Macaca fascicularis: one gene and its partners. The protein of the gene in region 3 interacts with the protein of the main gene of each other region in a pairwise test. Links are inferred from orthologs where the notes say so. Each region holds a gene or a part of one and is shown on either strand. Other genes may lie near its edges. The genes, in order: DYDC1, NME7, TCHP, MKRN3, KRT15, KRT16 and NAB2.

The links.
Region 1: the proteins of TCHP (region 3) and DYDC1 interact in binary tests that used the Homo sapiens proteins (3 or more experiments, as listed by UniProt). The two-hybrid records come from large-scale screens. The link is inferred for Macaca fascicularis from reciprocal best matches to the Homo sapiens genes TCHP and DYDC1.
Region 2: the proteins of TCHP (region 3) and NME7 interact in binary tests that used the Homo sapiens proteins (3 or more experiments, as listed by UniProt). The two-hybrid records come from large-scale screens. The link is inferred for Macaca fascicularis from reciprocal best matches to the Homo sapiens genes TCHP and NME7.
Region 4: the proteins of TCHP (region 3) and MKRN3 interact in binary tests that used the Homo sapiens proteins (3 or more experiments, as listed by UniProt). The two-hybrid records come from large-scale screens. The link is inferred for Macaca fascicularis from reciprocal best matches to the Homo sapiens genes TCHP and MKRN3.
Region 5: the proteins of TCHP (region 3) and KRT15 interact in binary tests that used the Homo sapiens proteins (3 or more experiments, as listed by UniProt). The two-hybrid records come from large-scale screens. The link is inferred for Macaca fascicularis from reciprocal best matches to the Homo sapiens genes TCHP and KRT15.
Region 6: the proteins of TCHP (region 3) and KRT16 interact in binary tests that used the Homo sapiens proteins (3 or more experiments, as listed by UniProt). The link is inferred for Macaca fascicularis from reciprocal best matches to the Homo sapiens genes TCHP and KRT16.
Region 7: the proteins of TCHP (region 3) and NAB2 interact in binary tests that used the Homo sapiens proteins (3 or more experiments, as listed by UniProt). The two-hybrid records come from large-scale screens. The link is inferred for Macaca fascicularis from reciprocal best matches to the Homo sapiens genes TCHP and NAB2.

The regions. Positions count from the first base shown.
Region 1 is NC_088383.1:66,468,688-66,470,952, reverse strand, and holds part of DYDC1 (DPY30 domain-containing protein 1), read right to left. Parts: intron 1,454-2,265; coding exon 1,397-1,453; intron 874-1,396; coding exon 769-873; intron 1-768. UniProt on the Homo sapiens protein: Functions as part of axonemal radial spoke complexes that play an important part in the motility of sperm and cilia. Plays a crucial role during acrosome biogenesis.
Region 2 is NC_088375.1:26,961,140-26,964,639, forward strand, and holds part of NME7 (nucleoside diphosphate kinase homolog 7), read right to left. Parts: intron 2,322-3,500; coding exon 2,214-2,321; intron 1,106-2,213; coding exon 939-1,105; intron 1-938. UniProt on the Homo sapiens protein: Possesses an intrinsic kinase activity. Displays 3'-5' exonuclease activity with a preference for single-stranded DNA. Does not seem to have nucleoside diphosphate kinase activity.
Region 3 is NC_088385.1:116,776,454-116,779,953, reverse strand, and holds part of TCHP (trichoplein keratin filament-binding protein), read right to left. Parts: intron 2,965-3,500; coding exon 2,908-2,964; intron 1,199-2,907; coding exon 1,130-1,198; intron 1-1,129. UniProt on the Homo sapiens protein: Tumor suppressor which has the ability to inhibit cell growth and be pro-apoptotic during cell stress. Inhibits cell growth in bladder and prostate cancer cells by a down-regulation of HSPB1 by inhibiting its phosphorylation.
Region 4 is NC_088381.1:5,418,420-5,422,589, forward strand, and holds the start of MKRN3 (E3 ubiquitin-protein ligase makorin-3), read right to left. Parts: upstream 2,801-4,170; 5' UTR 2,692-2,800; coding exon 1,490-2,691; coding exon of another isoform or gene 1,168-1,489; exon of another isoform or gene 910-1,167; coding exon of another isoform or gene 888-909; exon of another isoform or gene 1-887. UniProt on the Homo sapiens protein: E3 ubiquitin ligase catalyzing the covalent attachment of ubiquitin moieties onto substrate proteins.
Region 5 is NC_088390.1:62,557,296-62,561,333, forward strand, and holds the start of KRT15 (keratin, type I cytoskeletal 15), read right to left. Parts: upstream 2,801-4,038; 5' UTR 2,738-2,800; coding exon 2,240-2,737; intron 1,088-2,239; coding exon 1,005-1,087; intron 883-1,004; coding exon 726-882; intron 182-725; coding exon 20-181; intron 1-19.
Region 6 is NC_088390.1:62,651,814-62,655,848, forward strand, and holds the start of KRT16 (keratin, type I cytoskeletal 16), read right to left. Parts: upstream 2,801-4,035; 5' UTR 2,722-2,800; coding exon 2,188-2,721; intron 1,760-2,187; coding exon 1,677-1,759; intron 1,516-1,676; coding exon 1,359-1,515; intron 1,245-1,358; coding exon 1,083-1,244; intron 994-1,082; coding exon 868-993; intron 567-867; coding exon 346-566; intron 252-345; coding exon 205-251; intron 45-204; coding exon 1-44. UniProt on the Homo sapiens protein: Epidermis-specific type I keratin that plays a key role in skin. Acts as a regulator of innate immunity in response to skin barrier breach: required for some inflammatory checkpoint for the skin barrier maintenance.
Region 7 is NC_088385.1:63,891,375-63,895,251, reverse strand, and holds the end of NAB2 (NGFI-A-binding protein 2), read right to left. Parts: intron 3,526-3,877; coding exon 3,392-3,525; intron 3,059-3,391; coding exon 3,007-3,058; intron 2,913-3,006; coding exon 2,780-2,912; intron 2,569-2,779; coding exon 2,377-2,568; intron 1,369-2,376; coding exon 1,259-1,368; 3' UTR 501-1,258; downstream 1-500. UniProt on the Homo sapiens protein: Acts as a transcriptional repressor for zinc finger transcription factors EGR1 and EGR2. Isoform 2 lacks repression ability.

The DNA of each region.
Region 1 (2,265 bases), on a different chromosome or scaffold from region 3:
CTTCCGTGCTGTCTGCCTGGAGCACTACCCTCGGCCTCCCATGCCACCAGTGAGTAGCAAATCATTAGTTTCCTTCCCGACTGAGGTTCCTCAACTGTGCTGGCTGTCCCTCCTTGTTAGTGTACATGAATTAAAGTGACCAAAATGTACCCTTCTTCCAGGACAGTCCTGGCTTACATCTGCTGAGCCGGCTCTCATTCTCAAAAGCATACTGGTTTGGACAATAAATTACGTGGTCCCGCTAACCATGACTATTAAATGCTCATCTAATTGTCTGTTTCTTCCCTGACAATAAACTCCACAAGATCAAAGCCATCTGCCTTATTCACCACACCATCAGGCATAGTGCCTGGCATATGGAAGATGTGGTATGTTTGTTAAATAAACAAATGTACTTACATACTGGAGAAGCATGCACTCTCATTAAGGCATTCATTTGGTTCCAGGGTTTGTTACTGAGGACCAAAATCGTGCCCCCTACACCAAATTTAAAGATCGTGTATTTCACAAAATGATTTTAAAACATATTTTGAAGAGGTTTTGAGGTCACAGATACAGAGACATAGATAAGCCAATGACACACTTCACAAAAGGGCAGAATGCCAATTAGGAATATAATCGGCAACCAGGGAACTGATTTTCTCTGAAGCAAAAGGCCCGTTTGCCAACCAATCCTGGCCTAGCCTCATTTTCCCTAGGCTTTACCTAAGTGAAAAAATCAAAAACAAAAACAAAAAAGAGCTTTTTAAAAAACACGCTGATACTGACATCAGAAAACATTGGTTCATCAAGTTCTTCCACTCTGCTCAAGTTAGGTGCTCCATAACGATCGCTGATTTCAGCTAGTGTTTTGCCTGAGTCTAGTGTTGCTTCCTACAATCAAAAAATTTATGTTTACTTTTAAATTATTTCAAAATTAATACATTACTTTTCTTTCAATTTTGATTAAAAATTTTCTGATTTATAACATCAAAATTCAACATTATTAATTAGTGGAATTAACCAATTTCTGTTAATGACAAGAGAATTCTGGTAATGAATTGAGTATCCTAGAATATAAAGCTAGAATTCCGGCAATAAATGCTAAAACTTTTCTTTAAATACCTGCAGAAATTTAAAATAATTGTAAGTAATTATGTGGTAAATAGCTTCAATATCTCAAGAGAGCCTAGTTTTTTTAAATCCAAACACAAACTGAATGTCCAATTTTTACCTACTGTGAGATTTTTCTTCAAAGCACATTATTTGTGACTTGTTATTACCAGAAAATATATATGGACTATCAGTTTTGATAATATACTTGCTAAAAATTTAGCTACTTATGCATCAAAATTAAGCTTAAATTATAGGATACTCAATTCATTTCACATAACATAGAATGACTTTTTCTTCTCACCTCTGAATATAGAGTATCTTCACTCCTAACTAGATTTTCCATATTCATTCTCATCTCCTATAATATATAAAAATTAAGAAAATACTTTGAATATACTTCATTTTGATTTCATATTTCATTTTTGGCATTTTTATTTTTACACAATGCTATGATCAATTTAAAGCAAAAATGCTGTCACTCTGAAAGAGAATGATCTGATTACACATTACAAAACTGCAGATCACAGTCTTATTTAATACTCTATACTAATAGAAGGCAACCATGTTTTATATATAATTAAATAAAACTTTTTAAAAAGTGAAATGGACTGAAACATTTAAACTGAAGCCAAATTATCTGCCAATATAAAAACTGACAAAATAAAAATTATAATAGAACCTTAGAACAAGAGATTTTAAAGAGAAACTACACTTAAGTAGAGTTTTGCACATCATGAGAAAGAAGTAAACACTTCTACAGGAACTAATCTGGCCCAATGCAGAGGGACCTGAGCGATGCCCTCTTTAATACTCTGAGCACTGCAGTAGGAATGTACTGCCAATATGGGAGACCTCTTTCTGAATGTGAAAATATTCTTCTAGCCAGCCAAACCTTGCTATGCCATCTACCTTTTCATTCTAAAGCAGCACGGTGGCCTAACTGACCCTGAGCTGATTGATTTTGGCTGCTACACCACCAGTGATTTCTTGATCATACATATGGTTACCCTAATGATAGGAACATAAACAGCACTGTTTTCCCAAGACCACTCCATTTTCCTGGTAACTTCTTATCCAGCATCCACAAGGCTATATTGGGAACATCCATATTCTTATAGGACCATGTTCCCCCACCACAGAGATGGATATTTGACACAAACTAAGTCAGTC
Region 2 (3,500 bases), on a different chromosome or scaffold from region 3:
TCCCACAACATTAAAAGATTCCTGTTTATTTATCTAATACCTGAAATTTTTATCCTATTTCAAAGAAAGTGTTTGGTCTTCCTTTGTTACGAGGCATTCACCACCCCTCTGATCCATCACCCTTTGTGTACTAACACCCACACTGAGAATCCAATCACCTCAAGAACCATAAAGTGCTTATACAGAAAGACTATGGAAGTCACAGAAAGAGATACCTCATTACTATGAGAGTGACTCAGATGTTAGGCAATCAACTAGTCATTTGAGTAGCAGATCTCAAAAAATAGTGTGACTGATTTGTTTTTCCTATTGAATTAAATCATTTTTGGAACCTTTTATACATATAGCCTTAACTTCTACAAATAATCCCTATTTTAATTATAGCACCAATCACTCTACAGTTAAAAAAAAAAAAAGTCCCCAAACCATACAAAATATAAGCTACAGAAATTAGATCCAAGAGAGATGACAAAGGACTTAAATTTTCATTTCAAATATAATTAATTCTAATCTCAGAAAGTTGAAATTCATAAATGTAGAGAATTTAAAAGTTAAAAAGTCATCTTGAAAATACTGAAAATCAATATTCAGAAGGAAAACATCAGAAGTCCTTGTTTTCTATAAGTCTAATTTTCAGCTGTATCTACAAGTTGTTCTTTCTCACTTCCGTTTTTTTCTTAGCCCCTTTTACAGATGACTGTATCTCTGAGATGTGCTAAGTTGCATAGGAGACATAAATATGAATTAAGTCAGATGAGACATGTACAACTATGATATTATCAATTTTTTTAATTGAAAAAAAGAAAAAGACAGAATGAAGACAACCATTTTCCAGGTCCTATCCATCCTCATATGGTTAAATACTCCCAGTCTTGATTCAGATTGACTTTGAACCCAAAGTTACAAAATGTAAAAAGATTATATAATTGTTTTCTTACTTTTCTTTCCTACTGCCCAGCTGGCGAGCTGTATATTGATCCCCATAGTCAATTAATACCAATTGTCGAGAAAAGACATTCACTTTGTTGCCTATAAATAAATCTTCCAAGTGCAGGCTATCATATTTGGTCCGCTTTAAAAAGGTGCGATGATTCTTTACATCATGCTAGAACCAGACACAAGAATATAACAAACAAACAAACAAAATTTATGAATAAGGAAAGTTAATCTTATCATAAGGTAGAAATAATTCTTAATTCTGTCTTATCAAAGATAAGTTATATTCTGTTTCTTTTTTGTTACAAATATAAATCATAATTTTTAATTACTTCCATATTTCTGAATCCAATCTGGTAATAACATAAAAGCTTTTTATTACACATTTAATACTCTTAAAACCCTGAATAGAAAGATTTGTTTATTACCAAATCATTTCAGTAGTCCTTACAAAATGCTAAAGAAAGAGTCATACACCCAAATTTCTGCTTTTTTGTGTACACAAAATCCCAATACCAAAAAGATCCACTTGTTAAAATTGTGTTGCCAATGAAGAAACACAAAGAAATAAACAGAAGCCTCTTAGCTTGATCCTCTCAATTTGACTTTTTGTAGCAGTAACAGCTTTCAATAATGAGGACATATTTATGACCATAATAATCCTTATCTATAATCACTTATTGGTTATTTCTTATCCAAAACATGAATAATCCCATTTCAGTCTTTTTTTTTTCTTTTCTTTTTTTTTTTTTTTTTGAGATAGAGGCTCATTCTGTCCCCCAGGCTGGAGTGCGGTGGCATGATCTCAGCTCACTGCAACCTCCACTTCCTGAGTTCAAGCCATTCTCCTGCCTCAGCCTCCCGAGTAGGTGGGATGACAGGCATGTACCACCACACCCGGCTAATTTTGTGTATTTTTAGTAAAGACAGGTTTTCACCATGTTGGTCAGGCTAGTCTCGAACTCCTGACCTCAAGTAATCCGCCCACCTCAGCCTCCCAAAGTGCTGGGATTACAGGCATGAGTCACCGTGCCCGACCCCCACTTCAGTCTTCTAACAACAACAAAAAAAATTTCCTATCTTTGACATTAAAAGTAAAGGCACAAGTTAACTTCTTATATTGAAATTATAATGAATATCTTTAAAAAGAATTTCCATATATATATACACACACACACACACATATAAATGTGTTTTTAAAAAGCAATTATATAAAAGGCAATGGTTCCCATGTTCACCCCCTTTGCCGACATTCAAGCAAAGAAAGACTTATTTACCATTTCAACAGATCCATCCCCTGGGTAAAATAAAAGCTCATAACGTCGAAGAAGTGAAGCATTTGGATCATACCACTCTGCAATGAAAACGAATCTTTCACTATGACTCTGCAAAGAAAGACAGAAGAATTTTAACACTAACATATAAAGAACAAGCACTCTCCTGTAAGTCACACAAAATGAAAGCAAGAATTACCAATTTGCAAAAAACAAACTTACTCCTACCTATTGTATTGAATTTTTCTGCTTTTCAACAAAATATCAGTTATCAACATACCCTCAGAAATATTTCCTTTTAATTTCTCATATCTCAGAGATGACTTATGGATTGCTTATTACTTTATAGCCATCTAATCATCCTGAGTAAATTAACATTTTCTGAGAACATGAGCTCCTGATTTTACTGTGGTAGCAATTCAGTCCTTCTGAAAGCAAGTTTACATAGAGACTATCAATAAATTAATATAAGCATACATTTCTGAGGATAGCTCTCAATTATATGAAGTTTTGACTTCCCTAAATTTGAGAATCTAGTAGTATCAGAATATTACCATTAAAATTATAGTAAACATCTTTTTTCCTTAGTAATTACATATGATAGTATCTTTTTATAGAAATAGAGAATGTGTTAGTCTAGGACCTCTGAAAATAAATGTGAAGACAAGACTGAACATGCAAGAATTTCATTAAGGAAAATTCCTGTAATATAAAATGAGGAGGGAGCCAAGGAAGACTAGAAAAGCTGACAAAAAACAATGCAAGTTTGACACAGAGTGGTGGAGAGGTGCAAGCAAGGTTAAGTAGAATCATCCCAGATTGCTACACCCTCTAAGGAAGGTTCAGTAAGCCCATCAGGAAGTGCTAGAGCCAGGTGACTCCCAAGGACACGGAGGGGCCAGCTTTAGTATCCCTGTTCCTCTCAATCACTGGCTGGGAGCAGCCTTTGGGAAACAAGTGCTCAGCACAAAAGCAGCAGTGGATTTCAGAGAACAGCAGCTGGGACCCTTGGTCATTTAGGTTGCCTGTAGTTGGAGGTCTGTGAAGTACATTCTTAGGGCTACCACAGAGAGCAAAAAATGAAAAAAAAATAAGTCAAAGATGGGTCCTTTTCCCTTGACTATCGAGCAGGATTTCCCATTATATATGTTAGTAAAAATACCCTTGCCCCAAAGGCCCTTCATTATAATAAGCAAATAAAAGCATAGGGAAGAAGGGAATCTAGGAGTTTTATTGCTAATTCTGGATTTGCCATCTGATGCTCTGGTTAGGGTAAATTTGGGGATTCTT
Region 3 (3,500 bases):
AACCCAGCTTCCTGCCGCCGTTCTGCAGGCCACAGGGCCCAGGCAGATCCTGCCTGAATCCCAAATGACAATGCCCTCAGAGACCAAGTTAGGGAGGGGCTTGATAATGTTGGGTTTCCTCCCCACTCAACAAAACACTTTCTAAAATGAACCAGGCAGCAAAGCGACCAGTGCACGGAGGTGTGGAAGCTCAACCCCAAAGGGGCTACTGGAAGCCAGGGCTGCGAGTTTATGATGCAAATTTCATCAAAAGAGCGACAAAAAAGCCCTTAAAAACACATGTTCTAGCTGGACCCTGTGGCCCACGCCTTTAATCCCAGCACTTTGAGAGGCCCAGGTGGGAGAATCTTTTAAGGCCAGGAGGCCATGGCCGGGCGTGGTGGCTCACGCCTGTAATCCCAGCACTTTGGGAGGCCGAGGTGGGCGGATCACAAGGTCAGGAGATCGAGACCATGGTGAAACCCCGTCTCTACTAAAAATAGAAAAAATTAGCCGGGCGCAGGGGCGGGCGCCTGTAGTCCCAGCTACTCGGGAGGCTGAGGCAGGAGAATGGCGTGAACCCGGGAGGCGGAGCTTGCAGTGAGCCAAGATTGCGCCACTGCACTCCAGCCTGGGCGAGAGAGCAAGACTCCGTCTCAAAAAAAAAAAAAAGGCCAGGAGGCCAGACCAGCCTGGGCAACAGAACAAGACCCCATCTCTACAAAAACTAAAAAATTAGCTGGGCACAGTGGTGCACACATGTGGTCCTAGCTACTCAGGAAGCCGAGTCAGGAGGACTGCTTGAGCCCAGCTGGTCGAGGCTGCACTGAGCTGTGAATTGCGCCACTGCACACCAGCCTGGGTGACAGAGCAAGACCCTGCCTCCAAAAGAAAAAAAGAAGACGCATACTCTACTTGCCACCTCCCAGTCCTGGTCACCTGGCCTTATTCTGCCCTGGGAATTATCACATAGGATTCTGGTATGTGTAAGAGCAAACGTTCAGTTTTCACATGTGTCAAGTAAACTGAGAAAGAGTATACTATACTCCTTAACTGGAGTCACTGACGCTGAAAACGGTAAAGGAATGCAAAGGTGTCAACAGTCCTGCACAGCAGAATGCGGGGCTATTCCCTGAGCCGCATACCACACCTGTTTTCTTTCTTCTTTCTGCGTTTCCCAAGAGTTTACCACATGCTTCTGGTGAAGGTCCAGCTCCACCTGAGGATGGAAGGGGGCGGGTGTGAGTCTCCTCACAGGCATGCAGTAGAGGGCGTGGGGCGACTTCAACACGCACAGTGTAAATGCAAGTCAATCGGAAGACCAAAGGACCAGGCGCTCCTACATCAGTCTCCTGAGCTGGTACAAAGTAACAGAGACTTCCTTCCCACCAGCCCTGGGGTTAAGCTGGACGCTGAGATGGAAATACAATTTCGCAGGCCAGCGTGGGTTGGTCTCCTGCATGCCAGGCCCCGGGAGACAGCTGGGTGAGGAGAAGACTCAACTCTGTGTCTGGCTCCCCAAAGCTTGCTCTGCAGAGCAGATGGAAAATGTGCTCCCTGTAGCAAGTGATGCGCCAGTGGGTGCAACAAGTTTAGGATTGTTAGTAAGAGATTTGAGCGCAGAGAATCTCCTGGATTAGAAAATGGATCACAACATTCAATCCAAATCTTTTGTCTGGGAAACTGTTTATAAAATTAGCCGGATATGGAGGCGCCCACCTGTAGCCTCAGCTACTCGGGAGGCTGAGGTGGGAGGATCACTTGAGCCCAGGTTCAAGACCAGCCTGAGCAACATAGGGAGACCCTGTCTCTACAAAAAAGTTTTACAATAATCTTTCCCAACTTAGAGCTGTGAACACAGGCAACTAACTTGAATGTTCTGAATAAACTTCTCTGATTTAACGGCTCTAGATGATTCCACCAAAGCCAACAGGGCTAAGGAGTCCCCCCACAGATTAGTGCAAACTACACAAAAGCACTAGATGTTCCATTATTTAGTGACTGGCAATTTCTAAATGTAACTACGAATAACGTGAAGGCACCAAATGTATACAAAAACTGTAAGTTGAAAATAAATTAGTAACAGTGAGGGATGATCTCCCTCCAGCCAAATCTCCACTGAACAAGGCCACCAAGCCAAGAGGCCACCCCCTCTCCTGCAGTTTGTCCTCCTCTCCCCTGCCAGCCCAGTTCAGGCCTTCACCATCCCCCAGCTGGGCTGTCGCAGCACCCCTCCCTGCCAGCTGGCACACTGCTGCCAGAGGGATCTCTCTGAAATGCAGCCGGGATCCTGTGTGCCGCCCCCAGCACCTTCAGAGGAAGGTCACACAAGCTCTTATGGCGTCTGGCACCGTCTGCCTCGCCGGCGTCGTTTCTTGGGGTTCTCCCTATCTGACATCCTAGCCTCACCCAGACACTTTCAGCTCCCGGGGCTCACTCTGCTCTCAAGTCTCAGGCCTGGTTCTCATAGTCACATCAACCTAGAACATCTTTTCCTCACCTCTACACACATACATCCCTTCAAACTCTTCCACCCCAGGAACCCCTCTGGGAAGCCTCCCCGACCCCTCCAGAGTTGAGTGCGCTGGCCCATGATCATCCTCTCAGGCTGGCCCAGCACCCTGCATCCTGCCTGGTAATGAGCTATCCACTGTTTCCCGTGCTGGAGACAGCAGAAACCACGTCTAATCTCCATGCCCCCACCTGGTAGAAAGGCAGCAGAGGTTCAATCAACATTTGTTCAACAACTGAATGAACCGCTCAGTGCAGCCTGTGCCAGATCTTCTGCCTGGCGCTCTTTTCAGGTGGCTCAAGGTTCCCTCCTCTGTTTCAACCCAGTACAAGATATGTGTTAAAAAAAAAAAAAAAAAAGTCTGGAAACATGATTTCATCTACTTAGGCAAATCAATGGAGGTCTCTGATTTTCACCTCTCGAAGTTTCGGGTTGTTCTTTTTCCAGTGTTCATACAAAAGTTGTTCAGCAATCTATCGAGAAAACACAAAATGGAAAGCCTGATGTCAGTTTTCAAATCCATTCACGTTTTGGATGACACACAGTGGAAGTCAGCTCAGGCTATGAGTGCCTCCATTCATACTGTCACTGCACCCACTGTTCAAACCCTTGTGCTTCACATGCACAGCTCTAAGAACCACATGGCACTACCAAGTGACTCTTGCAATGGTGACAAAAGGGGACCAAAATCTGATGCTACACAGAGGTCTTATCTAGGGGGTCTCAAAATAATACAGCAGGCTGAAAAGCACAGATCAGGGCTCACTGTTTCACATAACTACTTTGGAAGGTAAAACAGATTATTCCCAGATCTCTATGGGCCCACAGAACTGGAAGAAAGGAAAAGCACTCAGATGTAATGACTGAAGGGGCTAAAGAGAATACAGCTAACTGATCCAAAACCCAGTCCCTGCACAAGGACTTAAGCTCCTTTCCTGCTGGCTCTGGAGTTAACTGGCCTCTCATCAGACCTGAGCAGCCAGGAATGGCCCTATATGTGCGACACACT
Region 4 (4,170 bases), on a different chromosome or scaffold from region 3:
TTTTTAGTGCTTTCTATATTTTATTATCTTTCCATTATTTTATTCTCACTGGTTTTAGTATTTTTGTTCTATTTTCCCTTTTATAATCTTGTTACTTTTATGTTGAAATCTTTTGTCTAAAGCCCCTTGTTGGGAAAGTCTAGAGACTTTGTATATCAAATACAAAGCACTGTGCCTCTGAGCCTAGGATTTGCTGTTACAAAGAATTATTGAGAAGGTGGCAAAACTGCGTAGGAACACAATTTCTGTTTTTATAGAGTGAGCTATTAATGCCATTGTAAGAATTACCAATATAGTGCTTTGTAAGTCCTCTAAGATCTGCATCTGTTACATTTGGCCAGACCCACTTGAACAGTCCTTTTCATTAGATGCTAATTACTGGCTTCTGTGCAAGGGACAGAATGATTATTCACACAACTCACATCCACACAACAGCCAATCCTGTTAGGCTTTGACCTTCAGCTTTCGGCTCTGTATTTACTTTATTACATAAACATAAATATTGTGATGTATATTCTTTTATATATATTTTCAAATACATAGCTCTTATACATATATATTATATATATATCATTCTTAAATATATATTTCCAAATATAAATTATTTCATGTCAAGCTAAACAGGATAAAAACATGTAAACATATACACTTGGTTTTGGTCAAGTAAAACACAAAATCACAAGTTCATCACAGTTTAACAAGTGCACTTGAAGGGGAAGGAGGGAAAGAACAAACTGTAAACAGATGAGCAGCTGCAAGACCCTGCGAGGGTCCATTTGTTAAGGCTATTATAGCACAAAGCTACTAGTTCAATTAAAACTTCTCCTTTCACTCTGCCACATTTACTCTTGAGGGTCTTCAAAATAAGTGTGGAAATTCAGTAAACACTACACTAGAACTGAGTTAATCCTGTTGAAAACAGAGATGACAAAAAAAGCCATAAGCTGACATTAATATTAATTTCACCAAAACAGTAACTTTAAGGACTTATTTTTTTAAACACAGATAATCACCATAATCCTAGGAGGAAAGATATGCAGAATAGACAAGAAAACAGAAGCACTGCCTCAACAGCCCCTGAAAGCAATAAGAGTGTCAACACAGGGAAAACAGGCAATAGCAGACGACAGAACCTCAGCAGACTAGACCACATGCCACAGCACAATGCTACAGATTCAAATTGAAATATTCTTCCAGCTCATAATGAAGCAAGTCCCACTGGTCCTCAGAGAAGGGTAACTCATCTCTCAGTAAAAGAAACCGCTTAAACAACAGACTGGCCAGTCGAAGCACGACAAGCTCCTTCTTACGGCTTTTATAGAGCATGTCGCCCTCTCCCATTCGCACAGGCTCCACAAGTTGATGCCAGTATGCGCCGAATGACCCACCACCTGGCCCAGGAGGCTCATCTCCCCAGCCCTCAGGGTATTCATGCTTGTAAAAGCATGTGTCTCCAAATGGGCAGTTACCCCTGCCTTCCGCAAAATACCTGCAGGCCTTGTTGCTCATTGCCTCCTTGTATTGCTGAATAAGTTTCTGCTTCTCTTCCTCCTCCTCCACCCAGAACTCACTGGGAACGACCAAGTCGGAGGTGACCCTGCACTGCGGGCAAGACTTGATGATCCTGTTATCAAACTGTCTGGCACTTCTCCACCTGCGGATACACCTAATACAGAAGGTATGGTTGCAATTGGAAAGAATGCCAAAGCGGCGGTCATTGGGGTTGGCTTTCTCATAGACAACCTCCATGCAGATGCCACACACCTTGTCCATACCACGCTGCACAGCAAACGAGAGTTCCATATCTTTCTCGTGTGCTTCAATGCAGGCCCTTATATGGTCTTCCCTCTGGGCAGCATCCATGGGGTGCAAGGCCTGCAGCCCACACATGTCGCATATGTCTCCATGGAGGAACATACAGCTCTCCCCACGAAAGCAAACTCCCCTGGAAGCATAATAGCAAAACCGCAACCCCCTGCCCACAGCCATCTGATTCCTCTCAGTCTCTGAGCTCTGTGGAGGAGCCTCGGGGGCAGATGCAACCCAGCGGCCCCGGTAGGGCTGCCCTGGAACAAACTCAATGGCATCCGCCCAGCTTTCTACACCTGCTCCTCCAGCAGCTCCACGGTCTGCATTGTCTCTCTCGGCTTCAAAGAAACCCCTTTCAGCAGCCGAGCCAATCACAGGCAAGGAAAGGGAGGATGCAGCCGGGGGGGCTTCCGCCACTTCCTGAGTCGGGGGCTCGATGTGCGCAGCCGTGCTAGGGCCTCCACCTGCAGAGGCCCCAGGCGGCGAAACGCTGCCCTCAGTGGCCATCTTCCGACCAGAAAGGTCGTGGGAATAGCGACAGTTCTCCCCCTCCTTGCACTGCCCATGTATATAATACCTGCAGATGATCTGCTTTGTCCAAATGCCGCTGCTTCGGCTTGGAAACGGATTGCGCCATGCTCCTCCTCCTGAGGCTGGTGCAGGCCTCAGGCCTCCTGTGCGGAGGTGGGCAGGGACTGGAGCTACAGGGAAGGGGGCCCAGCCCACAGGCGCATGTGGCAGGGCCGAATCTGGAGCAGCAGATTCCCTGGAGGGCTCACAGACGGGAAGGTCCGGCCCAGACACACCCTCCCCTGCTGCCTCAGCACCTGCCTGGGCCCCGGCTGCCTCCTGGGCTTCTGAGGGAGCTGCAGGCTCTTCCATGGCAGCTTCTTTACCCCGAAATGGTGCCAGAACGTCTCCGGTATTTTTTCTTTATGGGCTTGAGGCCCGGAGTCGCGGCCGCGCTCGGAGGCTTCTCTAGGGGAAGTGTGCATCTCTTTTTCTTCCCCCCCGGTTCTTGGCTGCCTGTGACTGTGTGTTCCTACCTACTTCCGGGCACAGGCAGCGCGGCGGACACTTCCTGTGGGGGCAACGTACGCGCCGCGCTTGGATTTTACCGCAATTTTCCAATCTGACATATTTTTTGTTCACACAGGCAGGGACCAACCCAGCCCCTTTTGTCTGCCTTCTGCCTCTGCTTCGCTGTGTTCCGGCAGCCCCTAATTCCCTCCTCACACCGTTTCCTCAGGAGAATGAGGTTTTACTTTAATCTCTTTTGGTTTCAGTCATGCACGTCTTCGTTGTATTTTCGTATCTGTCTGCTTTAAAAAAATTAGAATCCAATAGATTCTGAAACATTTCATACATGAATTAGATAAATCCTTTTTTGATTCACTCCATCTTATGTCTGCGTTTTTTTTTTTTTAATGCCCTGTCACTGCTGGAAGATTTTTTCGATTTGCTCTGTTGACAAAGCGTCGTTTCTTTTGGTCTTTGTTTTCTGGGATTTCTGAGGGCTTACGCAGGATACGCTTTTCACCAGCAAGGCATTAGCAGACAGCGCTTCTGATCCGAGGCTAAGTTAGCACCTTTCAGATGTCTTTCTTTATTGTGATTACTATGCTCGTTTTCCCACTGTGTAGAAGCCCCAGACTTCAATCATTCCTGATGCTGGCTGAATAAGGCACTGTCCCCTGCATGACCCAGGCTTTTATTTTCTCTACTGGTTTAATTCATGGCAGCCCTTTGTTTCTCTTGCTTTCTTTCAACCCCATCTGTGCTGTGTTGTGGCATACTATCCACAAAGGAATGGTCTTTAATTTCCATATATAAGCGTTTTGTCATTTTTGCAGATACGTGTAGTGGATTAATCATTTTTTTGTATTCCTACTTTGCTGAGAGTACGTATCATGACTGCATACTGAATTCTGTCATGTAGTTTTATATATTTTTTGAGATAATCTTGTTTTTCCCTTTATTCTCTTAATGTGATTATTTGCAGCTATGAGTTTCAAATATTTAACTGACCAATTTGTTTCTAATAAGAAGCCCTTCTGTGTCATGATATATCGTTTTATATATTATTGGATTTTTTTTTTTCTGTAAGTTTCTTTGAGGAAATTTTGTTGCCTAAATCTGTAAAGTGGAAACATATCTGAATATTTATAATCACCCAAGTCAACAAATTAAATTATAATTAGGTAGGTAAAAGCAAAGAAAGCAGAATGAAGCAAATAATAAGGCCAAGAAAAGCAATGAAGAAAAACAAATATTAAATAAGGGAAATAAATTAAGTAAAATCCTTTAAACAGCTTATTGAAGCCAGATAATTTCTGGTGAAACTTATCAAGGAAAAATGAA
Region 5 (4,038 bases), on a different chromosome or scaffold from region 3:
GGCAGGAGATCAGGCCCACCTTGCTGAAGAACCAGGCCTCAGCATCCCGGCGGTTCTTCTCCGCCATGGCCTCGTACTGCTCCCTCATCTCTGCCAGCACGCGGGTCAGGTCCACGCCCGGTGCTGCGTCCATCTCCACATTGACCTGGCCGGCCAGCTGGCTGCCGAACTCCTTCATCTCCTGCAGGGTGGGAGGGGCCCATTTAGAGACGGAGAGCAGAAGAGAAACCTGAGTCTGGGGTCCCACATGCCAATCCTGGCTCTGCCCCTAACGCACCCCAACCGATGTTCCCTATTGCACATGAAGAGGTTCGGTCACATGGACCCCTCAACTCTGAGGAGCTCTCTGCTGCTCTAGGTCCTACCAAAGGGAGGACCCCGAGACTGTAGGGCCCTGATGTGAGCTCACAAAGCCAATGAGGAAGTCAGTCATTCGTACTGGCCACCTGGCCTGGCTGTGGGTCTGGGCTACCACAGGTCAGTGCCCCTTCCTCTCCATGAGGACACCTGGTTTTGGGGTTTGGGGGTGTTTCTGAACCACTAAGCCCCAGGCCAACGATGAGGAAGTACCAGCAGCCCCACTCTGCCTCCCACCGACTTAATCTCGCGAAAATCTGGGAGGGCTTCCTGGAGCCGCTGTCTTTCCCTCTGGGCAATTTAAGTGCGTTTTGGGAAGAAGTTCCCCACCTCTCTCAGGTTCAAGGGTGATGGGGGCCAGCTCTCACCTCCTCGTGGTTCTTCTTCAGGTAGGCCAGCTCCTCATTCAGGCCCTCGATCTGCATCTCCAGGTCAGTCTTGGCCAGGGTCAGCTCATCCAGGACTCGGCGCAGGCCGTTGATGTCAGCCTCGACGCTCTGGCGCAGGGCCAGCTCGTTCTCATACCTGAGGAGAGAGAGGGAGGCCAAAGAAGGAAGTGGGAGGGGTCTTGGCTGCCTGAGTCAGACCCAGGAGAAGGCCAAGTAAAGTGGGCAACGCAGGAAGAGGAGAGGGAGGGGGGAGCGCACTTGAGCCTGAAGTCGTCTGCAGCCAGCCTGGCGTTGTCGATCTCCAGGATGACCCGGGAGTTGTCGATGGTGGTGGCCGTGATCTGCAGGAGACAGAGTTGGTGCCTAGAGGACTCCTCTCTCTCCCTTGCTGCTCTCCACTCTGCACCCAAGGCCAGCCCCTCACTGACAATCACCCCTCTGACACCACCAACAAAAATCTGTAGGGCCTCTGGGGTGGGCAGAGTCCAGCCGCATCTTGAGTGTCCACTTCTGGTTTTGTCCCATACCAGCCTCCTTGAGACACCTGAGGAGTTGCCCTCCTTGTCTCCAGGGCACGAAAGACCAAGGAGGCAGTACTGCCTGTGGGAATTGGTTGCCCAGAAGAGTGGTGGAGTGGGGTGTGGTCAGCTCTGACAATAGCCCTCTCAGAGACACTCCACCAGCCCCCCTGTGGACAGCTCATGGTCACTGCCTCCTGCACATCTTGGACACAGCCATGGATCTACAGAACATTCCAGCCAGTAGCAACCTGGAGGGCAGCTAAAGAAGGCCTTTTACAAATGAAGAACCCAGTCTCAGGGAGTAAAAAGGTGAGTGAGTGGGTGACAGAATGTGTAATGAGTTCCCAGGTCTCCTAAGACCCAACAGTACTTTTGGCACAAAAGGTCTCTTTATAGGAAAAGACAAGAGGTTCTAGCATCTGGGACTCATGAGGCCACACTCCAATCCCATTCTTGCCAAAGAGGTGAAGGAATACTTTATGCAGAAGCCTGCAGGGTGCATGAGGTAGGGAAGGCGAGCTGCTCTTTTTTTTAATTATTGGTTTTTTCCATTAGATACAGGTTCTCACTCTGTCACCTAGGCCGGAGTACAGTGGCACAGTCATTAGCTCACTGCAGCCTCTAACTCCTGAACACAAGCAGTCCTATCACCTTGGCCCCCCAAAGCACTGGGATTACAGGTGTGAGCTACTGCCCCTGGCTCTTTATAATTGCCCCCACCTGTGCCCCTGTTGGTCCTAACCAGACTCCCAAGACCCCTCCCTTCCTCCCCCAGCACCACCAAGTTGAGAAGATGTGCACTAGCCTCTGCACCTGGACAGCAGGTGCATTCCAAATTTGCTGAGGTTACACACCAGACAGTCGTTGCCTGGGCAGGAAAGGATTTCCTCGAGTCAGCAGTAACACCGACATTAGAGCCACATACAGGGTACCAGCCACCTGCTCCCCTCTCTTTGACATCTGAGGACTCACCTTGTCCCGGAGCTCTTCAGTGGTCTTGAAGTATTGGCTGTAGTCGCGTTCCGGGCTGGTCGGGGCCTGCTTCTGGTACCAGTCACGGATCTTCACCTCCAGGTCAGCATTGGCCTCTTCTAGGGCACGTACCTTGTCCAGGTAGGAGGCCAGGCGGTCATTGAGGTTCTGCATGGTAATTTTCTCATTGCCAGAGAGGAGACCACCATCGCCACCACCAAAGCCACCACCAAAACCCCCACCAATGCCCCCTCCAAAGCCTCCACCAAAAACACTGCCAGCCCCTCCACCAAAGCCACAGACCCTCATGCCACCCCCGTAGCCCCCTCCTGACCCTGAAGACACAAACCTAGCAGAAGAAGCTGAGATATTTCGGCTTCCACCTCCCCCATAGAGACTACCCCCACCAAAGCCACCTCCCCCAGCCAGAAGGGAACCCCCTCGGGTAGAGCCACCCCCAAAAGTGGAGGAAGAAGTTTGCAGAAATGTGGTGGTCATCGTCAGGTAGCTGGAGCCCGTGAGTTCTCAGCAAACCCAAGAGACGCTGGCAGGAGGTACCAGGCCAGGCTGCACTCTGGAGCTCCTTATATTCCCCTCAGAGGGTGCTGTGGGACCTCGTCTCCTCCCCCAAAGCAAAGCCAACTCCTTCTGCCTTCCTGACAAACACAGCTGCCTGCACACCTTGAGTGGCTCGTGTGAAGTTTTTCTCTTCTATTTTTTTTAATGCAACAAAAGAGATGATTCAGAATTAATAGTGTTTTCCCCCGGGGCACGGTTTTAACACTTGGATTACAGGTTCATCTCTCCATGCCAGAAGAGAGCAGCAGGGAGTGAACTCTCATCACAGCACAGCTACCAAAGCCTCTAGCTGAACTGAGAGCAGCTCAAGCCACTGTGCCCTCAGCTGGACTTCTCCACTGCCCCGAGCCCTGAGCCTCTGCCCAAGGGGACAGCTCCGTGTTCTCGGTTTGGGAGTCCACTTCTTGATCATTACACTGTGTTATCCAACTCAAAACCCTGTGAGTGAGTGAGAGACTGCAGGGCTCAGGGGGAGTGGAGGCCTCTGGGGATGGGAATGCAGGACCCCCAGTTGGAGGACAGGAGCCAGGGACCTTGAGTAGTGTTCCAGCTGAGGTGACCAGAGGAGCCAGCATCCATCCCTTCCCTGGTGCTGCAGATGGACTCCCCTCCTCCCACCTCTACTCCCCTCCTGCCAGCCTCCAGCCTATGTCCCTGGCACCCTCACAAAAGCCCAGCAGGCTCGGGGCTGACAAGGGGATGACTGATGATCCCGACACCTGCCAACTGCATAGCGCTGAACCTTTGCTCGCTTCTGGGATGTGTTGGGGCAGACCTCCGCTGATAAGGCTGGGGCAAGTTCCAAGCAGCATGTTGCTGCTTAGCAGGGCCAGATTAGCCCCCATCTGTCCTGTCAAGTGCTGGCTGGGGAGGGGCCGCTGCAGAAGGCTCTATGTGCCTGAGTGCTGTGGAAGGGAAGAGATGGGAGATTGGCGGGCAGGCTGGAAGACACTGGAGATCTTGAAGACCAAGGCATCACTTCACAAAGATGGGGAGTTGAACACTCAGGAGAGCCCTTTTCTCTGCCACCGGCTCAGGGACACCTTTCCAGGGACAACTGACACCTGTGGGCAGTGCCTCTTGGAGGTGTGGCCCGGCCCTCCGGACCTGGCCCCAGGGCTTACAGAAACTCAGGAAGAGGATTCCTAGCCCAGGTTGCAGCATGGTGAAGTGGACAGGGCTCCGGAGTCCCTCAGGCCTGGGGTTTAAATCCTGGCTCT
Region 6 (4,035 bases), on a different chromosome or scaffold from region 3:
GGGCCGGGTCTGACGGCTCGAAGAAGACGAGGAGGAGGTGAAGACTGTGGGAGAGAGAAGAAGAGGTGAGAAGGAGTCTGAGAGCTGAGCAGACTCCAGGGCAGGGAGAAGGGAGGGCTGGGAGCTCTGAGGAGAAGGGCCCGGCCCCCACTCCGTGGAAACAGGCAGAGGGGCTGCAGTGCCGGGGAGCCTCAGAAGCCTTACCCTCGCGGGAAGAATAGGATTGGCCAGATGCGTGCTGGGAGGAAAGGCTGTGGGAGAGAAAAGGCAGGGCAGTCAGTTGTGCTGAGAGCAACAGGGGGTCTAAAGGGTCTGGGAGGCAGAACTGGGGGGCCTGGGACTCACTGGGCGTCCTCGCCCTCCAGCAGGCGGCGGTAGGTGGCGATCTCCTGCTCCAGCCGCGTCTTCACGTCCAGCAGGATCTGGTACTCCTGGCTCTGCTGCTCCATCTCACAACGTAGCTGGGCCAGCTGCTCCTCCACGCTGCCGATCAGTCCCTGGATCTGGGACAGCTGCATGCAGTAGCGGCCTTTGGTCTCCTCCAGGCTGTTCTCCAGGGATGCTTTCTGCAAGCGAAAGAGAGAAAGAGTCAATGGAGGTGGTCACTCCTGTCCCTCCAGGTCTCTGGGCATGCTTTTTGAGAGGTGCCTGGATTTTGATCCCAGTTGGGGTACTGACGGGCCAGACAATATGGAGAAAAGCTAGCCCACTATTCTAGGGCTTAATTTCTCTGTCTATATAATGGGTCCCATGAGTCCTCTGGTCCCATCCTGAGAAAAGAAAGGTGGAACTAGATTGTGGCTTGTTGAGGGGGTGGTGGCCATTACTGGTGGCTTGGGGGCTGCTGCTGTACCGGGTCCTTCATACCATGCTGAGCTGGGACTGCAGCTCAATCTCCAGGCCCTGGAACACCCTCCGGAGCTCCGTCACCTCAGTGCGGCTGCTCTGTACCAGTTCGCTGTTGGAGGCCACTTCTTTGTTTAGCTCCTCGGTCTGAGACAGGAAAGCAGAACGAAAGGTGAGGCTCTCCCAAAGCCCCCGGCTGGGAAGTGCTGCAGGCTCACTGAGGGCCCGAGCCCCACCTTGCTCAGGAACCAGGCCTCAGCATCTCTGCGGTTTTTCTCTGCCATCTGCTCGTACTGGTCGCGCATCTCATTCAGGATGCGGCTCAGGTCCACGCCAGGTGCGGCATCCATCTCCACGTTCACATCTCCACCGCTCTGACCTCGAAGAGCAAGCATCTCCTGGGAAGGGATGGCAGGAGGCAGTCAGCTCAGCAGACTCCTCTCCTGGCCCTGGGTGCATCTGGCAACCCCACCAAACCAGCCTCCCACCCCGGAAGCCAGCAGCAACCGCACCTCCTCATGGTTCTTCCTCAGGTAGGCCAGCTCCTCCTTCAGGCCTTCGATCTGCATCTCCAGGTCAGTCCTGGCCAGGGTCAGCTCATCCAACACCCGGCGCAGGCCATTGACATCGGCCTCCACGGTCTGCCGCAGGGCCAGTTCATGCTCGTACCTGGCAGGACAGAGGTCAGGTCCTCAGCTGCAGCCCTGAGGATTCTGAGGCTCGGGGTCTGCTGGCCCTGCTGGGTGGACAGAACTCCCTGCCCCACAGTGACAGAGCCCCACTCTTTGTCCCTTGCCCTCTGCCCCCAGCCCACCATGTTGGCTGCTCACTTTGTCCTGAAGTCATCGGCTGCCAGCCTGGCATTGTCAATCTGCAAAATGGGCTGCGCATTCTCAATGGTGGCTGCAATGATCTGGAGTGGGGATGGAGGACAGGAGCCCTGGTCAGCCAAGGACCTTACTACTTGAGCATGAAAGGCAGAAAGGGGCAAAAGGAACCTCCCCAAATCTGTAAGTCTCCTGGCTGGCAGGGCTGCCTTCTCCACCAGCTCAGGGTATGTAGGGACACACTCCATCCCAATCACCCCCTTCCTGGTTCCAAGGCAGGGAAGCTGAACTTGCAGCTGAACCCTTGCAGGAAATAAGAGATTCAGGGTTCCAGCCCCAGCCCGGGCACAGAGATGCTGAAAAGGACCCTCTGCCACCACTTCCCTGGGTGATCCTGGCCACTCTCCAAAGGTGCCCAGTCTCCCTGTTTGTAAAGTGTAATTGCTAAAAAGAGGTATCCCAAGGGCCACTATAGTGCCAGCCTCTCTCTCTGCTCCATACACCAGTCACCCACCTTGTTCCTCAGGTCCTCGATGGTCTTGAAGTAGGGACTGTAGTCTTTGATCTCACTGGGCCGCTGCCTCTGGTACCAGTCGCGGATCTTCACCTCCAGGTCGGCGTTGGCCTCCTCCAGAGCACGCACCTTGTCCAGGTAGGAGGCCAGGCGGTCGTTGAGGTTCTGCATGGTCACCTTCTCACTGCCCACCAGAAGCCCATCACCACCAGCAAAGCCACCACCAAAGCCACCACCCAAGCCAGCACCCAAGCCAGCACCGAAGCCAGCACCATATCCTCCCCCGAAGCCACTACCAAAGCTGCTGCTGCTGCTGAAGCCACCGCCATAGCCGCCCCCCAGCCCGCAGGCTCCCCCAGAGGAGAAGCGGGAGGAGGAGACAGACAGGCCCCCGCCGTAGGTGCTGGGGGCGCGGCAGGACCCTCCGGCCAGGACGGAGGAGATGCGGCTGGAGCCGCCCCCGATGCCGCCCCCGATGCCGCAGGAGCCCTTCATGGAGCTGGAGGAGGTGAACTGGCGACTGCAGGTGGTCATGGTGCCGAGGAGGGAGGTGAGCGAGCGAGCAGTTGGCTGAAAGAAAGGAAGGTGCTCAGGAAGGCTGAGAGCGTGCTGTGGCTGCCTCCAATCCCAGAGACCTTTATATGCACCTGGGGAAGGCGGGGCTCTCCTAACTGCTGACTCCGGGTTCCCCTCCGGATTTCATCACTCCCGGTCCCGTCCTACTCCTCACTCTGGATTATTCAGCCCAGGATCAACTCCACTGTGTGCCGGCTCGGAGTTCCCACCCAGCTTTGGGGGTGTGGGGCTGAGAGAAAAACACACAAATGCAAGTAGGTGGTGACTCAGGCTAGGCAGCCGGGAATCAGGCTCCCGTTCCTGGAGCCCTCAGGGCCAGTGGGGCCTTGGCACAGGTGGCTTTGTGGCAACTGCGTCCCCAGGCAGTGAGTCAGCCCTTCAGAAGAACTCCCTGCCCCACAGTGACAGCCTTGGCTGAAAGATACCTCAGCGATGCCATCCCGGGCTGTCTTGGGGAGCAGTTGTGGGGATCCTACATGTCCCACTCTGGGCAGGGGCAGAGTTCGTGCCTTCACTCTGCTTGCTGTGTGGCCTGAGGCTCCCCACCTCCCATCTCTGGGCCTGTTTCCCCTCGGTGGTGACAAGGCTAGACTGGGTGACTGCAGAGTCCCTTCTGGTTCTAAAAATCCTACGACTCTCTTTCCCTTGTTGGATGTAATTCCAGTTCTGGAGGCTGCCTGGAGCCCCTGGGATCTCCAGAAGTGTGTGCACCATACAAACAGCACCGGCCATGGAGCCAGACAGGCGGCACCAAGTCCCTGCTCTGCCCTTACCAGCTGCATAGCACAGGCCGGTCCTATAACCCCTTGGTCCTCAGTTTTCTCATGTGTAAAAGGGGATGACACACCACTAGCCACAAAGAAACATGCGCGCAGGACCCCACCGGCCCTTCCCTGAGGGTCAGCCCTGCCCCTCAGCCTCCCCATCCTGCCCCTTCAGCCACCTGCTCCTCACACTCACCTCTACACACTGGCACCCTCCCACACCCCTACGCGGGACCCTGCACCCCCCACACTCCCAGCTGAAGAACACCACAGCCCCACACCTAGCTCCTCCACTCCTCTACCGCCCTCTCCTAATCACAGGCACCCCACCTGCAGGCTGATGGGAGGGAGCCCGTCCTGCCACTGTAGCCAGGTGTGACCCCTGACTCCGCCATGGGCCTCAGAGTCCCCGACCCTGTAGAAACAGGACTGGTTGGGGATCCATTCCCAGCAGTTCTCTTTCCCATGTCCACAGATCCCAGACTGGGCCTGGCAGCTCCATTCATCC
Region 7 (3,877 bases), about 53 Mb from region 3:
GCGAGGTGGAGGCTTCTGATATGTGTATGAGACTATGCAAAAGTACAAGGGCCGAGTTTCTTCATGTATAGCTGTGTGAACGTGTATGTACCTAAGATATGTTAATGTATAGCTGGCATGTTAGTTGCATGACCACATAGAACATGTGTCTGCTTTTGCCTGTTTGACAACACAAATTTGGGAGTGTGAGACATTGCACAGAAGACAGCAGCAAGTGTGCTGGCCTCTCTGACATATGCTAACCCAAAAATACTCTGAATTTGGAGTCTGACTGTGCCCAAGTGGGTCCAAGTGGCTGTGACATCTACATATGGCTCCATATCTCCAATGCTGCCTGGGAGCCAGGGTGAGTGTCTGGGTCCAGGCCTGACCATGTGGCCCTCCAGTGTATGAAGGGGCCCTGCCTGCTGTATCTTCTCTGTTGCCCTATCCACTGCCAGCTTCCCTTCACTCCCCCATCCCATGTCACCGTTTCTCCCTCTCGAGGCAGGGGTCATAGATCCTAAGCCATAAAATAAATTTTATTCCAAAATAACAAAATAAATAATCTACTGTACACAATCTGAAAAGAAAGACGCTCTAACTGCTCAGATAGGTGCTGCGGTCCAGCCCCCAGCTGGAGGAGACCCTGAGTCCAACCCAGGCCTCCCAAGGGGGCCAGTGAAGGGATCCCACACCCACCGCCCCCATGTAGGGCAGGAGGGAGGAAATTGCAAAGGACTTGGGGGATAGATGGGAATGGGAGGGCAAACTGCAGCACTTGTTAAATTAAAGAAACAAACCAGAAGCACAAAAACGGGGAAGGAGAGGGAAGAAGGAGCAGGTCCAGTGTTCCCAGGCCCCCAATTCTGGGGGCAAATGTTGCCACTTTTAGCTGCTGGACCTTCCCAGGGAAGTCCCCCTTTCCCCCTTGTCCAAACTGAGTCCAACTGCTCACACCACAGGTGCAAACCTAAAGAGAATGGGAGTGTGTCGTGTGAGGGAGGGGAGAACCCCAGATGCCCTTGGAGGCAGAGTCCTTGCCCCCTCGCTCTGGGCAGGGGTGAGGGCACCACGCACCCTCCTTGTGTCCTCTCTCCAGGCCCCTGCTTGTTATTGCTTGAAGCCCCACAGTCTTATGCCCATGGAGCAGGTGGGGAGGCAGGAGAAGGGCAGAGGAAGGATCCAGGGTTGTGACTATATTCCGGGGATGGAGAGCATGGGGGTCTGTGTGAGCCAGAAGTCTGAGGTCCTGGGTCTGAAGACACCAGTCCACCCCTCACTGCCGGCTGGCCTCAGCCTCCACTTTCACGCTGCTCCTGCGACCCTCCACCAGTGCGGGATGGGGTCCTGGGGCAGGACATCTGTCCAGCAGCCCTTCCTCGAACTCTGCAGGGAAAAGGGGGCAGTTAGGAGACTGCAGGGTGACTGGCTGCAGACAGAAGTGGTTGGAACAGAAGCAGGGGCAAAGAAAGTTGTGAAGATGGGCTCCGTTTGTTGAATTACTGCTTCCTGCCCACTGCATGTGTATGGGGGGTTCCATTCCTGTGTGTGTGAGCCCCCTCCCCTCTCTGGCTGTGTGTAGCTCTGTCTCTGTGTCTCTCTCTTTCTCTGTCTCTCCCGCCTCCTCCGTTGTGCTGGAATTTCTGGTTCTGTCAGGAGCTGCGGGGGTGGTTTGGCTCTGACCTCTCCCCTCCCCCTCTTCCCAAGCTTTGCCACCCCCACTCATCCCTGGCCCCCTCCCAGGCCCCTCCCAGGTCACCCTACCATGGCCCCCCAAGTGTTTTGGTAGCCAAATCAGGGGGAGCACAGGAAGCCAGCCTCCGAGCTCCTCCCTCAAGAAGAGGCCCCCTTCCAGTCCCCGCCCCCACTTCCCACCCACGCACAGTTTAAAAATACCAAGCCAGGGTTGGTGGCTTTGTCTGCTGCGTCACTCTCAGCCCAGCGGCTGCCCGGCCCTCTGCCTGCCCACTCCCTCTTCCCCCTTCCACACACAAAGCATCACTGCTTTGGGCTCCTCTGCTTCCAAGCTGGGCATCCCCATCCCCATCCCCGCAACTCCTAGCCTGCTCCCCACTCCTGGGTTGGTGGAAGTGCCATCTGAGCTTCCCTTATTGATGCTCCTCCTTCCTGCGCTTTCATCCTCTTTTCTCTGTTCCCTGTTCCCCAGTTCCCCTTTCACAGATCTACACTAGGACCAGACTTTTCAAGGTGGGAGCAGCCCGGCAGGGTCTGCCTCACCGCACCCCAAGGCCTGGCTGGCTGGAGCCCAGCCCTCCTACGGCCCGCTCTGACGACTATATCCCTCTTCCTCCCACCTGGCCCCAGGACACCAGAATTGCTGTGTGGGGCCTGGGTGGCCGGGGTGCTTGGGGACAGCACTGCTGGCTGCCTCACCTGCGAGAGGTGGCTTCGCAGGCACACAGGGGCTGAGGCGGCCCACGCGGTCGTGTGAGACGAGGCGGGCGAGCCGCAGCCCCTCGTCCATCAGTGTCTGCTGCAGGATGTGGCGGCTCCATAGCCCATGGGCTGGCAATGCCAGAGGCAGGTCAGCAGGGGGCGGCGTCAGCCTTGGACATGACCCCACAGCTGTGGGCATGGGCACTGGTCAGGTAAGGGGCTGCAGCCAATGGAACCCCCACCCTCAACCACACAGCCAGCCCACAGGCCCTTCTGCCCCCCCTCCAGCCAAGCTTCCCAACCCTGTTCCAGGCATTGCCTCCTGGCTCACTCCTCCCCCCAACCCCTCCCCTACTCCCCCACCCTCAATGAAGAGAAAAGTATTCTGAGGCACACTCACCCTGCAAATGTCCATCCAGACTCTCCCCAGACAGGCTGGCGCTGTCCTCCTCCAGGCTGGGGCGGTATGGGGGTGCATAGGACTCAGGGCCTGGGGGAGGCTGCTGGATTTCAGGGTGACTCTGTTCTCCAACCTGTGGATGCCCAAAATGGGGAAATGAAGACCTGGCAAGGGAGGGGATTGGGGAAGGCTGCCCAATGCCCCTACATGCACCCCGGAAAACATACCTCTTGTTTCAGCTTCTTCAGTGGAGGGCCTCCCAGTTCTTCAGGGTGGAGCCTGAAAAGATGGATAAGAATAAAGTGGGTGAGGCTGATGAGGGCCACGTGACGGGCAGAGCACAGAACCCGGCCAGAGACGTGTTATTTAAAACCTTTGTCAAGAAGCTGGCCGAGAAAGAGTCTCTAGCTCAGGCCCTATTGTTGTAGGGGGTTGGGGGGACCCGACATGGATGGGAGGAGAGACCAGACCTGAGACAAGCTGACTTGACCAAAAGCAGGACATCCAGGTGGGCGGGAAGCAGGCCTAGAGCTGCCTGAGCTGAAGGTTAGGACATAATCTAACTCCATAGCAGGATTCCAGTCCAGGAAGGACCTGGGGAAGGGGTCTCACCTGGAGCCCTTCAAGGAGGACAAGTAGGTGCTCTCTCGGGCTACTTGGCGGGACAAAGAGAAGAGCTCCACTCTCCGCAATAAGAGTGTGTTGTCCCTCATGCAGAACTGGGCAGCAGCCTCATTGATGGTGAGCTGTGGAGAGAGGGCAGCCAGGAGAGTCAGAATTTGAACTCCCCTGCTGCCTCACCAGACCTCCTCACACCCCTTCACCATCAGACAAATAAGGCCCATCCATCAGATGCTTGCTTTGGTTTTGACACTACATGGGAGCTTTCTGAGGAAGACAGACAGAGATCAGCACCCACAGCTTCCTAGGAATGCCCAGGGCCTCTTCCACTCCTGTGGGGTCCTGAGTGACAAGGAGCTGAACAGCTTGGTGTGGCCTGTACCTCTGCTTCCCCCTCAGCTGAGGATGGAAGCACTGCGGCCGCTGGGGTGGGGGCCTGTCAGGGAGGGGATCAGGGCCTGGGGTCCTGGTCAAGGG